2 linked regions of the Stegostoma tigrinum genome follow. The protein of the gene in region 1 purifies or fractionates together with the protein of each later gene. This does not show direct contact. Links are inferred from orthologs where the notes say so. Each region holds a gene or a part of one and is shown on either strand. Other genes may lie near its edges.

Region 1 (9,182 bases):
GGTGAAGTGGATGAACTGTTCGAGCTCCTCTGGGGAGCAAGAGGCGGCGCCGATACAGTCATCAATGTACCGGAGGAAGAGGTGGGGTTTGGGGCCTGTGTAGGTGCAGAAGAGGGACTGTTCCACGTAACCTACAAAGAGGCAGGCATAGCTGGGGCCCATGGCCACCCCCTTAGTCAGTAGGAAGTGGGAGGAGTCAAAAGAGAAGTTGTTGAGTGTGAGGACGAGTTCAGATAGGCGGATGAGAGTGTCGGTGGAGGGGGACTGGTCGGGCCTGTGGGACAGGAAGAAGCGGAGGGCCTTGAGGCCATCTCCATGCGGAATGCAGGTGTACAGGGACTGGACGTCCATGGTGAATATGAGGTGTTGGGGGCCAGGGAATTGGAAGTCCTGGAGGAGGTGGAGGGCGTGGGTGGTGTCACGAACGTAGGTGGGGAGTTCCTGGACCAAAGGGGAGAAAATGGAGTCCAGATAGGTGGAGATGATCCCAGGCCCCAAGATGACATTCCACATTAAGCAGAGGTTCACCTGCACATCTGCCAATGTGGTATACTGCATTCACTGTACCCGGTGCGGCTTCCTCTACATTGGGGAAACCAAGCGGAGGTTTGGGGACCGCTTTGCAGAACACCTCCGCTCAGTTCGCAACAAACAACTGCACTTTCCAGTCGCAAACCATTTCCACTCCCCCTCCCATTCTCTAGATGACATGTCCATCATGGGCCTCCTGCACTGCCACAATGATGCCACCCGAAGGTTGCAGGAACAGCAACTCATATTCCGCCTGGGAACCCTGCAGCCATATGGTATCAATGTGGACTTCACCAGTTTCAAAATCTCCCCTTCCCCTACTGCATCCCTAAACCAGCCCAGTTCGTCCCCTCCCCCCCACTGCACCACACAACCAGCCCAGCTCTTCCCCCCCACCCACTGCATCCCAAAACCAGTCCAACCTGTCTCTGCCTCCCTAACCGGTTCTTCCTCTCACCCATCCCTTCCTCCCACCCAAAGCCGCACCCCCATCTACCTACTAACCTCATCCCACCTCCTTGACCTGTCCGTCTTCCCTGGACTGACGTATCCCCTCCCTACCTCCCCACCTATACTCTCTCCACCTATCTTCTTTACTCTCCATCTTCGGTCCGCTTCCCCTCTCTCCCTATTTATTCCAGTTCCCTCTCCCCATCCCCCTCTCTGATGAAGGGTCTAGGCCCGAAATGTCAGCTTTTGTGCTCCTGAGATGCTGCTTGGCCTGCTGTGTTCATCCAGCCTCACATTTTATTATCTTGGAATTCTCCAGCATCTGCAGTTCCCATTATCTCTTCCAGGTGCTGTGTAGTTTGGCCCAATATAGAAATCACTGATGAGCAAAACCACATGAGGTTACAGAACAATGACCAGCACTCTCATTCTCATCATATATCATGTCAGCAGCCTGGCTTCCACAAGTCTTCATGAACCTGAACAAAACAGTGCAGTCTTATTTGCAAGATTTAACTTACTGATGAGTTTGTTGAATTAGTATCCCTGTAAGTTTTCGAAAGAGTATGAAGACTTTACAGGCTGCTTGAAACATACATGCTGACTTGTTGAATTAACAGTTATAATGTGAAAATGTCAGTTTTGGCATTATTAATTGACCTCATTTTTTTAAAAAAAAGCACACGAATGTGTTTCATTTAGTAGTGAAAAACAGTGAAATGTTCATAGTTTTCATAAGCTCGCATTTCTACTAATTCCTTTTTTGCAGAGGCAACTTGAAACAGGTGTGGTGAGAATATTAGATGGTCAGTGGCCTATGAAGTTTGCAGCAAGTTGCTGCCCTGTTAAGCTACAGAAGGAGGAAAAAGCAGTATCCAAGTAAACAAAATCCAAGTGAAATGCTACAATGTGGAAAGCAAAGATAACAATCCCGTCAGCTTCCCTCCCTCCCATTCAATCATCCCAACTTAATTCCCTCAGCCTCCTTCCAAATGCACCAAACTCCCCCTTCTATTTAGAACAAGAACAAAGGACAAAGAAAATTACAGCCAGGAACAGCCCTTCAGCCCTCCAAGCCTGCATCACAACTAAAACCCCTAACCCTTCTGGGGACCGTATCCCTCTATTCCCATCCTATTCATTTATTTGTCAAGACGCCCTTTAAAAGTCACTATAGTATCTGCTTCCACTACCTCTCCTGGCAGTGAATTCCAGGCAACCACCACCCACTCTGTTAAAAAAAGCTTGCCTCGTACGTCACCTTTAAACCTTTCCCCTCACGCCTTAAACCCATGGCCCCTGGTAACTGACTGTTCCACCCTGGAAAAAAAGCTTCCGGCTGTCCACTCTATCTATGTCCTTCATAATCTTGCAGACCTCTATCAGGTCGCCCCTCAACCTCCATCGTTCCAGTGAGAACAACCCAAGTTTCTCCAACCTCTCCTCATAGCTAATGCCCACCATACCAGGCATCATCCTGGTAAATCTTTCCTGTATCCTCTCCAAAGTCACCACATCCTTCTGGTAGTGTGGCGACCAGAACTGAACACAATATTCCAAATGTGGCTTAACTAAGGTTCTATAAAGCTATAACATTACCTGCCAATTTTTTCAATGCTCCGGCCAATGAAGGCAAGCATGACGTATGCTTTGTTGACTACCTTTTCCACCTGCGTTGCCACTTTCAGTGACCTGTGAATCTGTAAACCCAGATCCCTCTTCCTATCAGTACTTTTAAGGGTTCCGCCATTTACTGTGTATTTTCCATCTGGATTAGACCTTCCAAAATGCATTACCTCACATTTTTCTGAATTAAACTCCATCTGCCATCTCTCCGCCCAAGACACCAACTTATCTATATCCTGCTGTATCCTTTGACGGTCCTCATCACTATCCACAATTCCACCAAACTTTGTGTCTTCAGCAAACTTACTAATCAGACCAGTTCCATTCTCTTCCAAATCATTTATGTATATTACAAACAGCAAATGTCCCAACACTGGTGCCTGATGGACGCCACTAGTCACAGCCCTCCATTCAGAAATGCACCCTTCCACTGCTACACTCTGTCTTCAGTGACTGAGTCACTTTTTTATCCATCTTGCAAGCTCACCTCTGACCGTGTGTGACTTTACCTTCTGTATCAGCCTGCCATGTGGGACCTTGTCAAAGGCCTTACTGAAGTCCACGTAGACAACATCCACTGCCCTACCCTCATCGATCATCTTTGTCACTTCTTCAACCAAGTTAGTGAGACACGAACTCCACTTCACTAAACCATGTTGCCTTTCACTAATATGCCCATTGATCTCCAGGTGGGAGTGAATCCAGTCTTGAAGAATCCTCTCCAATAATTTCCCTACCACTGAGAGATGGCTGTAATTAGCTGGATTATCCTTGCCAACTTTCTTAAACAAAGGAACAACATTGGCTATTCGCCAGTCCTCTGGGAACTCCCCTGTAGCCAGTGAGGATACAAAGATTTCCCTCAAGGCCCCATCAATTTCCTACCTTGCTTCTCTCAGTTTTCTGGTGCATATCCCATCATGCCCTGGGGACTTGTCTACCTTAATATTTTGCAAGACCCCCAATACCTCCTCCCTTTTGATCTCAACTTGATCCAAACTATTTACACACCCTTTCTCGGACTCATCACCCACCAAATTCTTCTCTATGATGAATACTGACACAAAGTACTCATTTAATACCTCACCCATTTCCTCTGGATCGACACAAAAAATCCCTTCCCTTTCCTTGAGTGGGCCAACCCTCTGCCTGGCTACCCTCTTGTTCTTTATATATCTGTAAAAAGACTTGGAATTTTCCTTAATCCTGTTGGCCAATGACTTTTCATGATGCTTTTTAGCCCTCCTGACTCCTTGCATATTTCTCCTTCTTTTCCTCTGACATTCCCAATTGTCATATTCCCAAACATCTTCCTATTCCCTCTCCTAACTTTCCCTTCCCTCCCGAATACTCCCTCACCCAATTCCGCCCACCTCCCTCTCATGCAATTCCCCACCCTCCCAAATCACCGTATCTCAATTCCCCCACTGAGTCCCCAACTTCCTCCCTTCTGATTCTCCCTCCCCCCAATTCCCAACCCTAGAGGAGACAGTGGCATAGTGGTAATAATACTGGTACACCAGGCTAATGCTCCAGGGGCACAGGTTTGATCCCTCCATGGCAGATGGTGAAATGTGTACTCTAGTAAAAAGTTTGGAATTAAAAGTTGGTGTCTGATGAAGGGTCTAGGCCCGAAACGTCAGCTTTTGTGCTCCTGAGATGCTGTTTGGCCTGCTGTGTTTATCCAGCCTCACATTTTATTATCTTGTAATAATGCCCACGTTGGTTATGGCTATGTTGAACCTTTAACTTCATTTTTCTACCTTTATACTCATTTGTCTGGTTTATTTCTGGTTTTTGTTTAAGATGGCACTGAAGAGTGGCGACATTATACAGCACTTTTCACCATATTTGTAACAAGTACATGGAACAAATACCCTTGACAATAAATAAATCAATGATACTAATGCCATTTCGATTGCCATAAAACCCCATCTGGTTCACTCATGTCCTTTGTAACTCCAGACCCATACCAATGAGGTTCACTTTCAAATGCCCTCTGGGTAATTCGGGAGGGTGGGGTAGTCTGTGGGCTGCCATTGATGCTCACATCCCAGCCACAAATAAAACTTACCTCCTTGTCACTCCTCATCCGTCCTGCCCCCAGGTTGACCATCCCTCCCACATGACATGATTCTCTCACTTCCAACCCCTCCCCCACAAAGCACACCGTTTCCATGGAGACGGGGGGGCGGGGCTTGTGTCGGTCCGAGGCCGCACTCTGCTGCAGCTCCCGGGGTCCAGAGAGAGGGGGAGGGAGAGAGTGCGAGTCCGGGCCAAGGCCCAGAAACATACAGAGAGAGAGTGATTGAGTGAGTCTAGGCCAAGGCCCAAGGCGAGATAGTGTCCAGGCTAAGGCCCCGAGAGAGACCAGGCCAAGGCCCGGGGCCCCGGGAGAGCGAAGCCGAGCTGACACAGTCAACCCGGGAGTGGGCGAGAGACACCAGGCCCTAGAGGCGGCTGGTGGAAGGTAAGGATGAGGCCCCGGACCGGAGGATCTGTCAGTGGGTGGGAGGACGGACGGACCGTGCCCCCACCGCCTCTTGGTCTCCTATTCCCGGGTCACAGAGAGCTACCCCACCCCAGGTCACAGCCCTACCCTCTTTAGCTTCCCACCCTCTTTTGCCCCACCCGTTACAGCCCCACTATTCCTGGGAATGCAGAGAACCACCTCAGCCCTGGTTGCAGCCCCACCATCCCTGGGGTAATGGAGAACTGACCCCTGCCTTGAGGACGCAGAGTTCCTGCTCCTACCGTTACAGAGGCCACCTCCCTCCCCAACCCCCGCCAATGCCTGCTGTTGGTCACCGAGGCTTGTACGCCCTGAGTTTATGTTACTGATCCAAATGTCTCCAAGTCACATAGCACAGAAGAGGCCCATCAAGCCTATGCTGACCTGTCTACACCTAATCCCAATTTCCAGCACTTGGCTGTAGCGCCTTGAATCTTATGACATTTCAAATGCACGTGTTTTGAGGCCTGCAGTCATTTACACTAAAATAATCAGAGGGTTAGATAGGGTGGATTGGGAGAGCCTTTTTCCTAGGACGGTGACGGCGAACATGAGGGGGCATAGCTTTAAATTGCGGGGTGAAAGATATAGAAGAGATGTCAGAGGTAGTTTCTTTACTCAGAGAGTAGTAAGGGAATGGAACGCTTTGCCTGCAACAGTAGTAGATTCGCCAACTTCAGATACATTTAAGTCGTCATTGGATAAGCATATGGACGTACATGGAATAGTGTAGGTTAGATGGGCTTGAGATCGGTATGACAGGTCGGCACAACATCGAGGGCCGAAGGGCCTGTACCGTGCTGTAATGTTCTATGTTCTATGTTCTATTTCAGAAATGGGAATCCAAGTCATGGGCGTCATTTATATTTTGGGATCCGAGGATACATATGTTATGATGTATATCCTCGGTCGTAAAGCACAGGTCCAACCAGCCTGTGCTGACCATAATCCTAAACTAGTCTGACCTGCCTGCACTTGGCTTATATCCTTGCAATGATTTCTTGTTTGTGTATTTGTCTAAATGTCCTTTAGATGTTGTAGCTGTACTCACACTCACCACTTTGTCTGGAAGTTCATTCCACACACACCACTCTTTTTAAAAAAAAATTGCCCTCATACCTTTTTAAAATCTTTTTTCTCTCAACTTAAAAATATGCCTCCTAGCTTTGAAATCCCTGACACCAGGAAAAGACACCTGCCACTCACCTTATCTGTCCCCCTTATGCTTTTATAAACCTCTATAAGGTCACTTTTCAACTTCCTACCCACTGTAAATGCTTGACCAGTGTTGGCTGTAGTGTAGAGAATCTTCATTTCTCCAATACTGAGGTGAGCTCTATACCTGCTCCTGCACTATTAACCTGGTGTCGCTAGGATCAATCTTAACCCCCTTAATTTGTAATCCCCATGATGCCCCTCTGTGATATAATCGGAAAGCATAATTTTAGATTTAATACAAGTGCAGCCTTCATACTCAAAACATCCAAAACTCTGCCTCTTGTACCCTAAGTTGTGCCAAATACTTAACACAGTGCTGACTTTGGCTCCCAGTGACACCTTGATTTTAAAATTCTCATCTTTGTTTTCAAATTACATCATGGCTTCATTCTGGCCTACTTCTTGATCCCTTTCAGCCTAACAGTCCTCCAAGATATCTCTCTCTCTCCAATTCTGGTCTCATTTTAACTCAGGCCAGTTTCAATCGCTTCACCGTTGTTAACTATGCCTTTAGTAGCCTCTGTGCTGAGCTCTGAAATTTGCCCCTGAAATCTATCACATTCTACCTTGCCTCCTTTGAGAGGCTCCTTAAATCTATATCTTTGCTTACATTTTTCACTATGCCTCATTATCTGGCTGAACTACAAACTTTGCAAGATAATATCCATGTGAAATGCTTTGGAATGTTTTACTCGATTCAAAGTGCTGCAGAGAGTTGCCATGTAAAACAAGTTGTTGCTTATTGCATCAGAATGTGCAAGGAATCTTTACAATCAATGAAATGTTTATGATGTTTAGTCACTGTTATATTGTAGAAAATGCAGCAATTTGCAATACGAAGATCCCATAAACTGCAGTTTGATAATGACCAGATATTCTGTTTCAGTGATGTTGTTTGAGGGATATGTACTATTTGAAAGCGTGCCATGGGATATTTTGAGAAAAGGACTTTTTAGTTTTGCCAGCTTTTCTCCTGAGATGCTAATAATTATTGGAATATGGTTTCCAATCAAGTCAGTGAAAGTTTGCAGGTGGGTTTTCTGTGGAGGACAACCTAGCTGAGTATGACCCTGTTTTACCTGACCTCTATGTATACACAATTATTGAGAAGACTGACCAAATAGTAATCAGTTGTAAGTCCTCTGGCAGGCTGTATCTGCAACCTCTCCTCACAAGTCCATGGAACCGAAACCAACTGTCAGAGTGCTATTGCAATTTAGGTTGTTTGGCCCACCTCAGACCAGGGTTTGAAGCTGGGTTTTCTAATCTATAAAGTTAAAAAGCTGTTGATGGCAATGCACGTAATGTTGTAAATGTTCAGGCCAATTGCACTGTTTATTTGACTTCAAGCAGATTCTGCTTTATAACAATGTTACATGTGCAGAATAACAAGCCACAAGTTTGGAAAGTGTGTGAGAATGATCTTCTGCAGGAGTTGTCTGGCGCTGCTTTGACTATGAGCTATCCATAATGTAACTGCAGTCGGTGCAAAAGAAACATTGTTTCCATTTTAGGACTTAAAAATGTGGCATTCTTGCTGATTCATTAGAAGAAGTATCCAATTCATCCTACCCTTGCCCCATTCCCTTGCAAAATGTTTTCCTCAGGTAAATATCCACTTCTGTTTTGAAAAGTTACTGTTGAATCTGTTGCCAGCCAGCATCCTTTCACACAGCACCTTCCACATTGCAGCTACTTGTTTCATATATTCAAAGTCAAAAATCTTTCTTACAGCGTCAGTCTAACCATCTGGGTCTGTTTAATTTTTTTTCAGTGATAGATTACATTTTCAGACAGCATTTTTTTCTGTAAGTTTTAATGGCATTGTTACAGGAGGGTTTAATAATAATAAAAATATGGAATCTGTGCTGAATAGTGTTACAATTTAAGGAAATGGCCTTGAGCTTTTGGATCAGGACCAGCCAAGATTGGTAGGATGAAAGTCATGTCTTTGGCTGAATGGGTCAGGTTAATGATTAAAATCTCTGAATGCCAGCTCTCTAGGTTCTAACATGAAGTAGCAAGTGGAATTTGTCTTAATTTGCTGATAATTGACAATGTCTGGATTTGATATAACAGTAATTGAGTAGTTGGGGATAATTAATTGAATAGGTAGATGTAAAGGAGGAGACAGTTGATAATTGTTTTACTTTGTAGCGCTGACGATTTGATCATGGTTTCAAAAAAAAGATCCAGAGGTATGTAATAGCATCTCTGAAAAGAAACAAAGGATATGAAGGGGGAGGTAGGTGGGACTGGTGTGTGGAAGGAGCTTCAAGACTGAGTAGTTAAGAGCTATCCACAAAGAAACATAGAGAAATAATGGGAACTGCAGATGCTGGAGAATCCGAGATAACAAAATGTGGAGCTGGATGAACGCACCAGGCCAAGCAGCATCTTAGGAGCACAAAGAAACATAGCTTGATTTCTCCCTCACTGACTGGTATCAATACAAATTGACATTTGTAACTTTGAGGTATTTTGAGAAGAATTACAGAAACCTAGTGTAATGCGTTGGATTGCTATTTCCTGCCAGTTTGCTGTGAAATCGAACCCTGTGATCAATGGAAAAGTGGACGTGTCTTGCATTCTTCTCAGATAAGAATATGGCGTTGGCACAGTCATTTCCTACTAGAAGCAAGATCAATTGTAAACTATTCTCAGTGGTAGAGTCAACAGTCGGACTGAGCAAGGTTTAAAAGTTCTCTTAAATGTTATGGATAAAATCTATAAGGAAGATGACCTAAATGAGGCATGGTCACATTCAGATTTTGAAAGGCAGGTGCGTATAAAAGGATTCAGCACCAGCTGCAAGTTTTGGAAAAAACATCAGTGCTTGCTTTTA
Region 2 (9,200 bases), on another chromosome or scaffold:
AGAAGACAAAAGTGAGTCTTGTCATTTCTAGGAATAGAGAAAATAGCCAAGTCTTCTCCTTCTAAAGAGCTTTCTGCTGTTCCAAGCTACCTGTTAAAGACAAAATAGAAGATTTACAAGGATGCTTCCAGAATTCAAGGGTTGGAACTAAGGGAGAGGCTGAATCGATTAGGGCTATTTCCCTAGGGCATTGGAGGCTGAGGGGTGACCCTATTGAGGTTTATAAAAATCACAGAAGCACAGATAAGGTAAATAGGCAAGGTCTTTCCTGAGGTGGAGGAGTCCAAAATTAGAGGGCATGGGCTTAAGGTGAGAGGGGAAAGATTTCATAGAATCCCTAGTGTGGAAACGGGCCCTTCGGCCCAACAAGTCCACACCGAACCTCAGAGCATCCCAGCCAGACTCATCCCCCTATAGCCCACCTAAGCTACACATCCCTATGGGCAGTTTAGCATGGCCAATTCACCTAAACTGCACATGTTTGGATTTAAAAGGGATCTAAGGGGCAACTTTTTCACAGAGAGGGTGGTGCGTGTGAGGAATCAGCTTCCAAAGGAAGTGGTGGGCACTGGTACAACATTTAAAAGGCATCTGGATGAGTATATAAATAATAAGGCTTTAGAGGGATATGAGCCAAATGCTGGCAAATGGGGCTAGATTTATTTAGGATATCTGGTTAGCATGGACAAGTGGACTGAAGAGTCTGTTTCTGTGCTGTATATCCCTATGACCATATGACTCTAAATGCATTAGATATGATGGGTAAAGGGATCTCACTGCTAAATAATAACTGAACAGTAAATGTAAAATTCTTAAATTTTGCTTCACGCTATGGTCAAAATAAAGGAGTTTCTTTGCCGCATTCAGGACTATAAAAATATGCAAAGTGAATGGGTCATAAGGGTTCGTAAACTGGATTAATAAGTTTGCAGATGACACTAAAGTCGGTGGACTGGTGGACAGTGTGAAAGAATGTTGCAGATTGCAGGCTGACTTGGATAACCTGCAGAATTGGGCTGAAAGGTGGCAAATGGAGTTCAATGCAAATAAATGTGAGGTGATTCACTTTGGGAAGAATAATAGGAAGGCAGAATACCGAGTCAATGGAAAGATTCTTGGTAGTGTGGATGTGCAGAGGGATCTTGGTGTCCATATACATAGGTCTCTGAAAGCTGCCACCCAGGTTGATAGTGCTGCTAAGAAGGCATACGGTGTGTTAGTTTTTATTGGAAGAGGGATTGAGTTCCGGAGCCGTGATGTCATGCTGTAACTGTACAAAACGCTAGTGCGGCCTCACTTGGAATATTGCGTACAGTTCTGGTCGCTCCATTACAGGAAGGATGTGGAAGCATTGGAAAAGGTGCAGAGGAGATTTACCAGGATGTTGCCTGGTCTGGACCGAAGGCCTTATGAAGAAAGGCTGAGGGCCTTGGGTCTGTTCTCATTGGAGAGAAGGAGGCTAAGAGGGGATTTAATAGAGACAATCAAGATGATCAGAGGATTAGATAGAGTGGACAGTGAGTCTTTTTCCTTGGATGATGACGTTGGCTTGTATGAGGGGGCATAGCAGCAAATTGAGGGGTGATAGATTTAAGACAGATGTCAGAGGCAGGTTCTTTACTCAGAGAGTGGTATGGGTGTGGAACGCCCTGCCTGCCAATGTAGTTAACTCAGCCACACTAGGGGCATTTAAACAGTCTTGGATAAGGATATGGATGATGATGGGATAGTGTAGGGGGATGGGCTTAGATTAGTTCACAGGTTGGTGCAACATCAAGGGCCAAAGGGCCTGTTCTGCGCTATCAGGTTTACCTCACCAAATCAAACTTCTCAATCTCCTGGGAAAGGCATGTTAAGGTCTCACGTTAAATTAGCAACACTCCAGAACATGAACGCAACTTTGGGAATCTTTAATAAGTTAAATTCAGCAATGTGTTATAGACACAGCAGAACCTGTTGTTTACCTGATCACGTGTCTCGACTTAATTAAGTAGATATTTATTAAATATGTTTAAAGGAAGTGAACAAGATAATGTTAACTTATTTCCAGGAAAACTACTCTGCTTCATTTTCACTAAACTCTGGGGGAAAATGCTGATATTCTAATGTTTAAGATAATTAAATATCTAAAATAGACTCAAGATAGCGGCATCGGCAGAGTAGGTAGGTGGTCGGGCTCCTCAGTCAGTCTCCAGACTGGCGGCATGCTTCTCTCCCCCTCTCCTTTTCATTTCTTTTTCCTTTTTCTTTTTCCCCTTCATCTTTGAGGTCAGAGTGGTGTTAATAGGAGGGGTAGCTGCAGCATGGATTGAGATTTTTGGCAGCAACAGCAGTGTCCAGAGCAGAGACACCTGATGACGAAAGGCCCAGAGCAAGGACCCCTAGCTGCGGTAATCCCAGAGCCTGGACTCTTAGCTGTGTCCGGAGCAGGGACTCTTTGCTGTGTCAACGAGGTGATGGCAGCAGTGGAGCTAAGGTCTCCTGGAGCACTGGCATTGCTGTATCCAGAGCAGGGTCTCATGGGGCTCAGAACATCTTGCAGAAACCATGGTGCCATGCTTGAGACCCAATTTGAACAGAAGATGAACTCTATTTCAGTAATTTCTTTTTATTCTTTTTGCAGCTCAAAATATCACCAAGTTGTGACAATGAAACACTTTCCCCTATATCTTCCCAGATGTGATAATAAAATCATTCATTCGTATTTGCCTTTGCTTGAAACTAATTAAATAAAAAGTATAAATACATATTATCCTGTCATACACACCTCAAAACGTTTACTCTCTTCACAGATACTACATGACTTGCTGAGTACTTTCTACATTTTGTTTACACTTCAGCGTTCTAACATCTGTAATCAGATTAGACATGCATTTCAATTAAAGTAAACAAATACATCACATCCATGCTTAACTATCTCTTCCCAAGTAAAACCAAATTCAGTTTAGATATTTTCTTCTGAAGAAAATAATTGATCCTTAATTTCAACAGGGGATGGGGCCTTTATCATAGAAGTCACTTACCCACATGCCTACCCTGAAATGTCACCGCCCTCTCCCAACCCTCATCCATGTCCTGATACTAATATGTCGTTCTGAGCAAGCAATTAGGACACCCACAGGGAGAAAGCCCAAGCCTCCTTTTAAAAATGCAGATCTGTAATTTCAACCAAAGATCCAAAGAGACATTAGATTTGCAACAACAAATGTTCTGCCTCCACAGATGTTCCTGGACCTGTTGAATTTCTTCAACACTTTCTGCTTTTGTTTCAGATTCTAAAAAAATGTCCTCAGAAACGACAGGTTAAGGAGTGGGGTAAAATAAACCAGATTAACATTTCTGACTGTTAGCCTGCATTTTCTACTCAAAAGTAGCCATGTACGAATGCTGAGCGAGTAGAAGTTTCGGTCTTACTGTGATGTTCTGTCTAGATGATAGGGTGCGTGTCAACACACTCTGACTGTGTAAATACAACCCACTTCAATGCAGTTCGTTCAACTCTAATTGCTTATGAATAATTAACACCGTTGCTCTCAAATCAACCTTGCCTTCCGATCGCTCAACACCTACTTCTGTTTCTACATAAAAAGGCTTCGAACTGTAAAATTCGTTTCTTTTTAATATCGCATTTAAGACATCATCAGAATGCGAAACCAATCCCTGGACGACGAGGTTCAGTCATCCTTCAGCTCTGTCTCCTCAACACCGATCAAACACGAAAAGTGTTTTCCAGCAGAACAGCCTCCCTACCTCCTGACAGTTTCGGTATCCTCCCCACTTTATTGGTGATCTCTGCTGTCAAGGTGCCGAAATCCTGCTCGTAAACCTCGAAATCCGAGGACATTTTCTGTGAGACTGACAGCGGTCGAAGAGTTTAAAGTAGGAGCAGCGGCCGCTTCCTCTACTCGCTCGCTGTGCCGCCCGGAAAGTCCTTCCCCCACCAACTGCCCAGCATTTGGTAGAGAGAGAGAGAGACAGATCGGAAAGTCTGCTGTCTTTAAACACTTATAGATGGAAAGGGGCTGAAGAAGTTTCGACCGGAGTGGTCGCGAGTGAAAATCAAGAGAAAGTCTTCTCCCCGATAAGTTTTGTTTTATTATTTATAAAAATGTGAGCCATGGCGGGGGAGGCGGTTGTGGGTGGCACCGGCGGAAGTGGCGGGTTTACGGTGACGGTTGGTGGCTGAAGGGAAAGAAGAAATAAAACTTTTAAACTATTCCGCACCCCCCCCCCTCCCCCGAGAGGGAAATTAGCTCCAGGATTGGAATTAACACGCTGCCGTCATATTTTAAATCGGTGACTTCCACTTGCGGGTATCCGGCCTGTCACCGGCCCAGTCCGCCCTCCCTTCCTCCATCTCGGGTTGATAGGGATACCGGCCAGGGCTTCGCACCTTGAACACCCGCCCGGTTAACCCCCTCTGTCTGATCATGTTTAATCTCCAGGAACCGCCCTCCTCCTGGAGTTATCAAAGACACAATATGCTTCCGGGGCACGAATGCAGCCAGACGGAAGGAGGAAGCTGTGTGGCGGTTTTGGGGACATGGATGGCAGTCGAGCTAACGTTTGGCTGCTCCCGTTTCTCTGACTCTCTGACATCCAGGCCTCTGGTTACTCCTCAGGCCAGCTCCAGCCGCAAGCAGCCAGAATCTGTGTTTTCTTCTCTATCCCCGTAAGTAATTGACTGAATCAAGGTCTTGATTATAAGGGTGGAGTTGTGTTTTTTTTACTTCAGCTCTAAACATACTTCACTCTTTTTATATCCCACTAGGATATCTTTTTGAGGACACCGCATGAGAAGCTTCAAGCTCATACAGAAGCACTGCATCTAAAGTAATATCATGGGGAATTTACTGGAGGTGAAAGTTGCGGTTCACAGAATTTGTTCAAAACTCTCCCTATTTATCAATCAAAAGTGATCCCTGCTTTTTTTCTGGATGCAAGAATTATTCATTGCCTGACTCTTACTTCCATTAAGTGTAACTGTGTGCATTATGATGGTTGCTGCATGTTAACTGAAGAGTATTGCTGTCTTCAATCAAAGACAATGTGTTCATTTATAAAATTTGAAAATTTACATGAATTGAAAAGAATTTGTCACTGGGGTCCAATTATAGCCCTGTCAGTTATTACAATATGTTCCTCCATGGCCATTATAGACTCAGTACTTTGGTATTGGCCTCTTGACACTCCTGGTGGAAGCATAAATTTCATTTTATTGATAAACTGGACAGTTCTTATACTTTACAACTACTTTAATGCAATGTTTGTTGGTCCTGGCTATGTTCCAATTGGATGGAAACCGGTAAGATGATGTTTGCTCTTTCTCCCTAATTTTTTTTTCTTGTCAAATGTTAAATTTACAATGGCTGTAAAGAGCTGAAAGGAGATAACTATTACAAGATTTCTACAACACATGTAACGCTAACTCTTTGGTTGTGTGTCTGATATAATGGTGATTAAATTAGATGAGAGTAGAGATCAGGGTTCTTTGAACATACGTTTTGAGTGGTAAGTCTTTGCTGTTTGATGCTCCTAGCAATCATTACAGCCATTTAACACATGAGTCATCTAAGCTTGCTACTATATTGCAAACTTGCCCATCTTGGTGATAACACATTGATTTTCTGCCTAGTCTGACAATTTTTGACTGAAGAATTAGTAAACTTGTCCTGATTTTTCATATTTAGTTCCCAGTCTGTCAAGTTTTACTGTTTGTGGCCAACTGCTCACTAATCACAACCAATAACTTAGATAGCAGTTTCAAATATTTTTGCAAAGCAAGTTCTCTGCAGTGACAGCCCTGTGAAATGTTCAGTGACATAACCTCCTAATTAATTTGCTGTATCCCAGCTGAGACCAGCAGGTTGCCTCATGTGGCTCAATCCCCCTTGTACTCAGTTCAGTGTCTTGGGGTTTGAACAGAGCTTCCCCAAGGTTGCAAAGGAGACAGGCAACCACAGCAGTATTTCACAATTGGCCAACAAGCTACTCAATATGTTGTGGAGAAACACCAAAAAGGGGAAAGATGAACAATACCAGAAATTGTTGGAAAAATTCAGCAGGCCTGGCAGCATCTGTGGAGAGAAAGCAGAGTTAATGTTTCAGTTTCAGTAAACCTTCTTCAGAACTGATTGAAAGTAGGAAAAATTTGATATTTGTGCTAGAAAGGAGATTGGGTTAGGGGAAAAAGCCTAAAGAATAGGTAGAAATGGAGCCTATATAGAGAGGAAAAACAGTTGGGCAGGCAAAGAAATGTGGGTACAGGTCATCCTGGAAGAATCTGTACCTGCTAATGGGATCCATTAGTGATTGACTTTAGGTTGTGTGGGGTAGGATTCTACATGACAGCCCGGTGTGTGGGGTTGAGGAAAGAAGATGGAATAAGGTGCTAAGACCCTAAACGTTATTGAACAATATATTGTATCCAGAAGGTTGCAGAGTTCCCAAGCAGAAAATGAGGTGGTACTCTTTCAGTTCATGCTGAACTTTGCTCAAGCATTGTAGGAAACCTGAGACAGAAATGTTGGGCTGTGAAGATAGTGTGTCGAAATGGCAGACAATTGGAAGCTCTAAGCCATTTTTGTCGACAGAATGTAGGTATTCTGCAAAGCAGTCATCCATTCTACACTTCCCCTCCCCAGTGTAGAGGAGACCATGTTGTGAGCAGCGAATACAATAGACTAGAATGAGTGAAGTACTGCTTCGCCTGGGAGGTGTGTGGGGATACTGAGGAGGGAGGCAGTAAATGACCAACTGTTACCCCTCCTGCGATTGCAAGCAAAGGTACTGTAGGAGTCGGGGGAGATATTGGGAGCATGGGAGGACTGAACTAAGATGTCTCTGAGGGAACAGTCCCTGCAAAAGGCTGGCAAGGAGATTGAGGGAATTGTGTCTCTGGTGTTGGCATCCTGCTGGAGGTGGCGGAAATGCGGCTGATGATCCTTTGGGATGTAGACATCGGTAGGACAATAGGTGAGGACAAGACGGGGGGGACCCTTGCACTCCAATGGGAGGGAAGATGCACTTGGGGCTGAAGTATAGGAATGGGTTGGACCCTGCTGAGGGCCCTGTCAATCACAGTGCTCGAGAAGTCATTGGTTGAGGAAGAAGATAAATGTATCAAAGGGCTCCTTGTCAAAGTTGGCATCATCAGGAAAGATGTGATGAAGTTGCAGGAAGTGGGGGAATGGAAGAGAGCCGACAAGAAGCAGAGTGAGGGTGTGTAGTTGAGGTTATCATGGGAGTCAGTGGGTTTGTAGTGGATGTTGATGGCCAGCCTGTCCCAAGAAATGAAAACAGATGTCATGGAAAGATGGGCTAGGTGAAGGTGAGAGCAGAGTAGAACTTGGAAGCAAAATTGGTTAGTTTTTCCAATTCTGGATGGCAAAGGAAAGCAGCACTGATATTAATATACTGGAAAAAGAGTTGTAGGTGCATGCCAGTGGAATAGGAACAAGAAATGTGCACATGCAGGTAGAAGTGGCCATCCCTTGGACCTGAGGAAAGTGGAAGGATTGACAGCAGAAGTTGTTCAAAGTGAGGACGAGCTCAGCAGATGGAGGAGGGTTGTGGTGGTAGATGGGGACAATTCAGGCCTTTTCTCCTAGAATGAGTGGTGGAGAGCCCTGAGTCTATCCTGATGGAGGATGGACACATAAAAGGATTGCATATCCATAGTGACAAGGCAGCTGGAGCCCACAAACCGGAAATTCTGAAGCTGACATAAAGCATCAAAAGTAAGATATTTCACTCCCAAAAATAGAGTAATAAACCATTAGCTCCGAGAGTTCCATACTAAGTTCTCTGGGAATAAAAAGAAATTTTGTAAACTTTTTTTATTGTAACACCATCTCTGAAAACGCAGCAGAAGGGGGAACAGATGTACTTGTTTAAATATAATTCACAGGATAAACTCGGAGTAGAAAATCTCTCCCCTCCCCCACTCCAGTGGGACTGTCCGTTCTTTCCACTCTAGCAGTTAGACACACCATTGTTCTGCCATTCTGGCGTTCCTATCGCTTAATTTGAACTATCCATGTCCTTTCTCCTCCCGCACACCAGCAACCTCTGCCCTCCCCCTCCCCAAACAAGGCATTGCATAAATGCTGCCCTTCCATACTTCACTTCAAGTTTGTTGAAGACTCGAAACATTAGCTTGCTGTCTCCACAGTTGCTACCGAACTCACTGTGATCTCCAGCATTTTTTGTTTTCCGTACAGATACCAGCATCTGCAGTAATTTGCTCCAATGTTGTGTGCCACTTTTGTTTTCCTATCTCTGCTTTATTTTTGCATTAATATTTCTGCAATTCATCTATCATGATGTTTTTGTCTTCTCTTACAATCGTAGAATCCCCATAATGTGGAAACAGGCCATTTGGCCCAACAAGTCCACTCCAACACTTTGAAGAGCATCCCACCCAGACCCACTCCCCTACCTTATCCCTGTAACCCTGCATTTCCTGTAGCTAATGCACCTAACATACACACCCCAGGACACTATGAGCAATTTAGCGTGGCCAATCACCTAACTTGGACATCTTTGGACTGTGGACAGGTCCTGGAGCACCTGGAGGAAACCCACACAGACTCAGAGGGAGCGTACAAACTCCACACAAGCAGACAGTCACCCGAGATGGGGATCAAACCCAGGCCCCAGGTGCTGCGAGGCTGCGGTGCTAACTACTGAGCCACCACTTAGAACAAATACAATGCCTAAGGGGCTTGCTGAAACAAATGTGTAAAAGTCTGAACAGATATTAGACCAACTGGTCTATTATTTCTTCGCAAGTGTCTCCTTATCTCATTTGGATCTGAACTTATACCACACTGAGCTACATTGCTTATGTAGGTCGCCTGGTTCCTAATCCACACCATCCTCAATCATCTGTTGCAGTAACTGAAATCTGTTAGTAAATCTACTGAGAATGCTATGTATGTTTGTCCTACTTTGACATGTAACTTTGTTATGTAAGATAACATTTCTGATGATGCAGGCAATTAGTAACACAAAGCAAACAGCACCTTCTCTCGCACTGTCCTCACTCTCTTTCACAGACACAGACACAATAACTGAACCATTCATCCTCTTTGCATGTAATCAGTTTCTATATTCTTATACTGAAATCAACTATGATTGTTGTAATTAGCTACTTGTTCTGTTCAAGGACAACCCTCAGGATACAATGTATCTTCAGG

The links.
Region 2: the proteins of vamp4 (region 1) and vti1a purify together in Homo sapiens (affinity purification with mass spectrometry; 4 studies listed by BioGRID and IntAct, counting the BioPlex papers as one, with this or other methods). This does not show direct contact. The link is inferred for Stegostoma tigrinum from reciprocal best matches to the Homo sapiens genes VAMP4 and VTI1A.

What each region holds. Positions count from the first base shown.
Region 1 is NC_081361.1:32,181,915-32,191,096, forward strand, and holds the start of vamp4 (vesicle-associated membrane protein 4), read left to right. Parts: upstream 1-4,777; 5' UTR 4,778-5,077; intron 5,078-9,182. UniProt on the Homo sapiens protein: Involved in the pathway that functions to remove an inhibitor (probably synaptotagmin-4) of calcium-triggered exocytosis during the maturation of secretory granules.
Region 2 is NC_081373.1:25,209,153-25,218,352, forward strand, and holds the start of vti1a (vesicle transport through interaction with t-SNAREs homolog 1A), read right to left. Parts: upstream 4,170-9,200; 5' UTR 3,845-4,169; coding exon 3,751-3,844; intron 1-3,750. Other genes in the region: palmitoyltransferase ZDHHC6, read left to right, coding at 5,009-5,305, 9,170-9,200. UniProt on the Homo sapiens protein: V-SNARE that mediates vesicle transport pathways through interactions with t-SNAREs on the target membrane. These interactions are proposed to mediate aspects of the specificity of vesicle trafficking and to promote fusion of the lipid bilayers.